2 linked regions of the Arabidopsis thaliana genome follow. The protein of the gene in region 1 interacts with the protein of each later gene in a pairwise test. Each region holds a gene or a part of one and is shown on either strand. Other genes may lie near its edges.

Region 1 (3,752 bases):
TATATCAATCCTGGAAATAGCTCAGGCTCGTACTGGCATCAATGATGAGAGAGGTATGAATCATCAGACCGATTAACACCCATGTTACAAGTATATATGATCACAATGCTTGAGATCACTTACACTTGAGAAAGCACTATGAGAGTATGCAAGACCTTCAAGCCTAATGGGGAATTTGACATCACATGAGCCTACAATGTTCTGTATCTTAAAATCCTGCAAAATGTAATCAGCAATTTTATTACTAGACTTTATACGTAATTTTTCCTTCCGATAAAAATACACACGAATTGTTGATTGAGATAAAAATGAATAACACAGTGTGTGCTGGATCAGGACCAGAGAGAGACATATGAGTACCTTGAACTTTGCAGGAAAGCCAAGCTTTTGAACAATCCGAGCATACTGAACAACAAAAAGGAATTCTTTAATATAACAGAGAACAAATACCTACTAGAGCTGTAACAAGTTTCTAACTACAGTGATGCTAGAAGAAGAACATCAGACAGTATTGAGATGAGCTAGTTTACCTTTCTTGCAGCAAGCTTTGAAAGATGTTCACTTTTAGCTCCGGTACACACCTAATATTGGACAGCATAGATGCCACGTCAAAACAAGGACATGGAAGATTAGGCCATAAGAGAAAAAGTGACAAAGGAAAACATACCATTTTCCCAGAAGCAAAAATTAACGCTGTGGTCTTTGGCTCTCTGATCCTCATGATTACAGCAGCGAAACGCTGGAACATAAAACACAGATTAAAACCAAATCCGAAAATACAAACCAAAGTGGTGGAGACCAAACAAAATGATCGATTACTAAAACACGAATATCACAAAGAAAGCAAAACCTTGGGGTTATATTCAGCATTCCTAGCTTGCAAAGCTATGGCTTTAAGATCAAGCTTGCAGTCTAAGTTCACTGTTGAGACAATATTTCTGAAACAAACCAAAAAAGAAAAAGGTAAGATCTTGTGATTCACAAAAGCACAAACTCAGAATCTTAAAACAGAGACACAAAAGAGAGAACTCACTGAAGAGTAGGAACAATCCCTGAAGGATGTTTAGTAAGGTCAACTGGCTGGCTCCCTTCCGTTCCTTGATCAGCCATTCTCTAACATAAGAATCAACGTAAACACACACACATCAGCTATAAATCTCGTCTTAAATAGGGCAAAACAGAAACTCATGTCGATCCAAACCAACAAGCATCCACGAAACAAAATTGTTTTCAAGCTTTACAATTTCATTGACCAAATCTGGTTATCTAAAAACCAGTTTTGATAATTGAAATCTAGAAACATTGTTTCACAATCAAACAACGAAAAGCTATGAAACACACAACTTCAGAACATGAGATCCAATTCGTAACAAGCAACTACGAAGAAACTCAATTCAGATAAAATCCGTGGAATTGAATCCATTAGGAACAAAGGGTACGAAACAAAATCAGACCTTTCGCTAGTTAGCAATCCGGAATTTCGAAATCTAGGGTTTCGTAAACCCAACAGATTGGAAGAAATTCCCCCGAAAAGGCGAAAGGAAGGTGAATGATTTGAAAAAGGAGAAGGCTTTTTATACAAAGATAAGAAATTTTTAGAGAGGGAAAGAGATTTGTAAATTGGGATTATATATAAAGGAGAGAGTTTTGATTTTCAATATCGCTCTCTGGGTTCTCTCTCTGGGGATGAGATTTGTGATCTGCGCTTTGGATCTGTGGAGCTTAAGGACACGTTATTACCTCTATATACTTTCCTAAACTACCCTTGCCTCTCTTTGTCGGATGAGGGTAATTATGGGAATTCAGCTTATTAGATTTTAATGTTACGGTCTTTACTGGAATTTTAGGGAACCGTCCACTCTTTGTCTGCCACGTGTTCTATTACAGAATGTGTTAGCATACGTTTTTTTGTTGGATCTATATGTAAGACTATAACTCAAGACACGTTCACAAATATGAATCGAGTAGAGACTATGAATCGCCACAACGACGGACTTATTACAAAGCAGTAGATTATCAATTATTGCATGAAGGTGCCAACTAAAACTTGTTAGAGATCATCACTCATCAGTGTCCGGGTCCTTTCTGACGAGTACGTGCCGATTCACTTCGTCTGACACCAGCTTTTAGATTATCAAATTGTTGTGCTCCATTTCCTTCCCCTTAATTTATAATAATAATAAAAAAAGAGATTAAGAACTGAATATGAGTTTTGTTTATGCGTGATTGTATTTGTATGATCAAAGACGGTCACTTACTCGGCAGAGTTCGGCCCATAGTCGTGTTGTACGCGGAGACCAAGAGAATAATCAAAGTGATTAGGGATAAAACCTGACGATTCATTACTTCTTCTTTTGGATTATGACTAATCTGAGAGATAATGTAATAAGTTGATACTACAATACTTATATATATACAAGGAGATTTGGTGAAACGTTAATATATTAGTATATATACTATATCAAAGTTAAGTTCGTTAATGTCAAAAGGTTCGTTAATAGCGCATAAAGTTGGTAACTTTGGTCGCATTTTACACATGTGAACTCTAGCTTTTATAAATTCTAATTAATGTTTACGCGTAAACAAAAGATTACATGGTAATGCAATCATGGATTAACACAAGGAAAAAGCATCACTTCATTAAGTTTAGTAAAAGACATCATATTTTGTTTTGGATGACGACATATTAAACGAGTCGGTCTAAGTAATTAGGCATACAATATTATACAATTCCATTTCATACAACAAAGGTGATGAATGTTAAATTACTTTTTATGTTTAAATTTATAATTTATTACCAACACAATTCGTACTACAGCCACCAATCTTGTTATTTTACCATTAAGGCATTAATTTAACAAACTAAGTTGCAAAAGTGGCTTTGGTTGACAACAAAAAACACACAAGCGACTTACAGAATCCGGCAAAAGATTTGCTCAAAAACAATTAAAAAAACACAAACTGAAAGATATTTGTTTTCCAAAGATGTAGCATTCAACCAAATCTGAGAAACTTATGTACAGACAAAAGATCAGATTTAGGTAGAACCGAGATTTCATGATCACACCAAAAAGCTTATGTTGCTCAGGGAACATGTCTTAACTAGAATCCGTTGGTGCATTGCTATCTTGCGACGAGGAGAACAAGGTGCTAAACGGCCACGGGATCGAGAATCCGCTTCCGTCATTGTTCTCGTTCTCCTCCTCCTCCTCCTCTTCTTCTTCTTCTTCTTCTTCTTGGCGCCGGTTTCCATCGCTGTTCTCAGCTCCATGGCTGGTTGTAGCAGAAGCACTACTGCTTCCATTGTTATCGCTCGTTGTTGTTACTGAATCAGTCTTGGCTTCATCTGCAGGTAACTGATATCTGCAAACCGGGCATGAACTGTGAAGCTCAAGCCATGGTAACAAGCAGTCACTATGAAACTTGTGCGTACAGGGCATCAGCTTTGCCTCAGTTCCAATCTCAAAATCATCTAAACAAACCGAACATTGCAGAGTCTCTTCGATTTTCACAGTAGCCAAAGCCTCGACAGCTTCTTTTTTAGCAGGAGGTGTTCCATATCTGTTGGGATCATTCTCAGCTAGACGTTGAAGCAACATTTCAAATCCAGGACCAATGAAATAGTCACCTAAAGAACCAGCAGGTACAGAATCCATATCAGCAGAGTTTTGAACCGTGATAGTCTGATTGGAGGTATTGATCAAGATCACCCGTCCCGGATTATTACCTCCATTACCAGTACTCTCAGATTC
Region 2 (3,752 bases), on another chromosome or scaffold:
ATTCCGGTAAACCGATCAGTTGACTTCGGCGTTGACAAACAAAAAAATGCTAACCATAGTTCAAAGAAAAAGAATTGTTACAAAAACGATTCTACGATAATTTTTATAATTTATAATAAATAATAAATCTAGACGGTAAAAAATAATAACTTAAAATTTACGTTTTTTCTGACATAGAAGTCTATATTTTAGTACACAGATTCTTTTATTTTATTTATGTAGAATGATATGTCAGATTTGTCATCTTTGTTAGAGTCCAAAATTGGCCTCTTCCAAATTTCTTATGGTTCTTTTTCATTTTTTCCCCAAATTTAAATAAATTCAATAAAAATTTGTTGATTTTTTGTGGCCGTTGATTAAAACCGGGAAAGCAGCAGAAACAAATCTGAAAATCTGAGTTAAGCCAACCACAAAACAAATCCACTCCAAACACTCCAAATTACTTGTCTCTCTTCTCTTCCCCACCACCACTACCTTACAAAAACCCTAACCCTAATTTCTCCACCCCCAAATTCTTTTCCTCAATCTCTGCGATGGAAGACGAAGAAGGCATCGGGTTAATTTTAGCCAGAGCCACCGAGCTCAGACTCAAGATCAGCGATTGTATCGATAACTCCAGTACCACCGTCAGCGACAACGGCGATGGAAACGAGGATCTTTCTCCCGGAGAAGGAAGAAAAAGCGAGATTATTGGGAATCAAGACAAGGATTTTGACTCAATCAGCTCTGAGGATGTAGATGAAGCAGAAGCTGAACGGCTTTTGCGTATTCGTGATGCTCTTGAAGCTCTTGAGTCTCAGCTTGCTTCTTTACAGGTTTGAACCAAACCCTAAAAATTTCCTCTGCTTCTCATCAAGTTTCTGGCTTTTAGTGTAGTATTGGACATTGAAAGTGTTAGGTTCTGGTTTTAACTGAAATTGAGTCTGAATTTGCTTCAAGTCTGGTCTATAATGTCTGAATTGCTTCTTTACAGGTTTGAACCAAACCCTAAAAAATTCCTCTGCTTCTCATCAAGTTTCTGGCTTTTAGTGTAGTATTGAACATTGAAAGTGTTAGGTTCTGGTTTTAACTGAAACTGAGTCTGAATTTTGCTTCAAGTCTGGTCTATAATGTCTGAATTGCTTCAAGTCTTGGTGGTGGTTAATGTGGGGATGGTTTTTGGTTTGTGGTGAACAGAATCTAAGGCAAAGACAACAATATGAGAAGCAACTGGCTCTCTCTGAGATTGATTACAGTAGGAAAATGTTGCTTGAGAAGCTTAAGGAGTACAAAGGGAAAGATTTTGAAGTGTTACGTGAGACTACGACTTTTGCTGGTGAAAGAGTTGATTATGAGAATGATCTTTTACTTCCTCCTTATCCTGTCCATCCTCCTCTCTCCCTTGGTTTAGATAATAATAATGGTTACCTATCTCACTTACCTTCGAAGAAGAAATCGGATGCGAATGGGTTCGGCTCAGGACATGTGAGGAACGAGGCAGAGGCGAAAAGTCCCAACGGAGGATCTGGAGGTTCGAGTCATGGGGTTATTCGCTTCTTAGGCTCTGTCGCAAAGATCGTGCTTCCAATCATCGGTGTTATCTCTCTATTGTCTGCATCAGGATATGGTCCAGAGATGAGGAAAAGAGGCGCTTCCTTGAACCTTTTTGGACTTCTCCCGCACCGAGCTACCAGAGGGAAGAGAACACCTAACCAATGTCCACCAGGGAAAGTTCTTGTGATTGAAGATGGAGAAGCACGGTGCCTTGTTAAGGAAAGAGTCGAAATACCATTTGACTCTGTTGTAGCGAAACGCGATGTAACTTACGGATACGGTTGAGTTTGAAAGAAATTAAACACCCTCCTCTGTAATGTTCATTGCCTGACATTCAGTGTGTAAAGTTTCAACCTTTTCTTACCTCTTAGATATGAAAGCCACATGGTGCTACATAACTCTCACAAGTTTTGTTCATAGTTGTGCAAATAAATTGGATGAGGGAGAGATTCATTTGAGTAGTATAATCTCTGTTCTGCCAATTTGATCAATAGATTCAGTGTATCCCAACTTATACCACTTGGTGTGGTTGGCCAATACATAAATAAGTAAATTAATGAGATAAAGAGATCTAAAAGACTTTTCTTTAGTGTTTTGACTAATAATTGGTCAAGCCTACCATTACAAACTATGTTCCATTACCAGTACAGAGCACATGGTTTCACTTTTTAACCAAGCAACTTTATCTTAAACTTGCTTATCAAGAACTGTCTCTTCGGTAACACAAAAGGGTCTTTTATCAAAACCTATATATAGGATACTTTTCATAATTGGAGTAAGATCTACAAAACAGAGAGTTGTATACTTTAAATCATTTAGAGGTTGTGAAATATTATGGAGAGTGAAGGAAAGATTGTGTTCACAGAAGAGCAAGAGGCTCTTGTAGTGAAGTCTTGGAGTGTCATGAAGAAAAACTCAGCTGAATTAGGTCTCAAACTCTTCATCAAGTAAGTAATGATCCCATTGATCTCTCTCTATTTTCTTTTTATGTATATAGTCTGAGATATGAACTACTATTTTGAACTGTAGGATCTTTGAGATTGCACCAACAACGAAGAAGATGTTCTCTTTCTTGAGAGACTCACCAATTCCTGCTGAGCAAAATCCAAAGCTCAAGCCTCACGCAATGTCTGTTTTTGTCATGGTAATAATCAATATCAAATAACATGATTTTGCTTATATATTCGAATCAAAGATTGTTGAGTTTTGGGGTTTATTATCAGTGTTGTGAATCAGCAGTACAACTGAGGAAAACAGGGAAAGTTACGGTGAGGGAGACTACTTTGAAGAGACTTGGAGCCAGCCATTCTAAATACGGTGTCGTTGACGAACACTTTGAGGTTAGTAGTTATTTGTCATATCTCAAAATGTTCTTTATCATACAAATATGTTAACTTGATTTTTTTTGGTTGATGTAAAAATGATTTATAACTGCAGGTGGCCAAGTATGCATTGTTGGAGACGATAAAGGAGGCAGTGCCGGAGATGTGGTCACCGGAGATGAAGGTGGCTTGGGGTCAGGCTTATGATCACCTTGTTGCTGCCATTAAAGCTGAAATGAATCTTTCCAACTAAAAAATCATATACTATTATATAGTTGTAAACTTGTAATAAATATTTCATTTTGAATTGTTCTCATGACTGTTGTTCTATTTGGTTTGGTTTGATTTAGTGACAATAATATATATATAGTGTGCATTCCAAAATCCTAATCATTTTGAATACAAGTTTCTTACTAATTGTTTTGCCCAAAAAAAAAATGTTTCTTACAAATTGTATTAAGATTATGATATTTTTGATAGACTTTAAAATAAATATAATTACTTCCAACAGTTTTATTCTCACTAAGTCTTGGCCTTTTACAACCTGTAAATCTTAAGAAATGATGAGCAAAATAGAGAAAAACAGCTACCTAAAAAAGGTAAGATACAAAAACTTTTTACCAGGCTCATGATTTTATCTTAGAACACTTCAATATATAATTGAAAAAATGTCAAAAAAATCATAAACTTTTAAATTTGGTACGTTTAAATCCCCAACTTCCAAAATACCACTAAAATACCAAACTTGTTATTGATTTTAGAATTAATATATAACTTTTGTTGATTTTGTCGTTTTAAGCACGTCGTTAAGTCAATTGACAGAAAAATTAACAGAGTGAAATATTCAGTTAGAAATATATAATTGGTAACTCGTACGAAAATGTTTAAATGTTCAAA

Evidence for each region.
Region 2: the proteins of TBP2 (region 1) and HB1 interact in a two-hybrid assay, tested with the Arabidopsis thaliana proteins (one study listed by BioGRID).

Annotation. Positions count from the first base shown.
Region 1 is NC_003070.9:20,726,374-20,730,125, forward strand, and holds the start of TBP2 (TATA binding protein 2), read right to left. Parts: upstream 1,719-3,752; 5' UTR 1,455-1,718; intron 1,114-1,454; 5' UTR 1,111-1,113; coding exon 1,034-1,110; intron 939-1,033; coding exon 851-938; intron 740-850; coding exon 668-739; intron 582-667; coding exon 531-581; intron 406-530; coding exon 361-405; intron 217-360; coding exon 124-216; intron 33-123; coding exon 1-32. Other genes in the region: AT1G55530 (RING/U-box superfamily protein), read right to left, coding at 3,099-3,752. UniProt on the Arabidopsis thaliana protein: General transcription factor (GTF) that functions at the core of the DNA-binding multiprotein factor TFIID.
Region 2 is NC_003071.7:6,982,138-6,985,889, reverse strand, and holds HB1 (hemoglobin 1), read left to right. Parts: upstream 1-2,112; 5' UTR 2,113-2,367; coding exon 2,368-2,480; intron 2,481-2,562; coding exon 2,563-2,677; intron 2,678-2,756; coding exon 2,757-2,873; intron 2,874-2,970; coding exon 2,971-3,108; 3' UTR 3,109-3,359; downstream 3,360-3,752. Other genes in the region: PDV2 (plastid division2), read left to right, coding at 534-815, 1,177-1,818. UniProt on the Arabidopsis thaliana protein: Phytoglobin that reduces nitrite to nitric oxide (NO) under anoxic conditions (e.g. during flooding or in waterlogged soil). May not function as an oxygen storage or transport protein.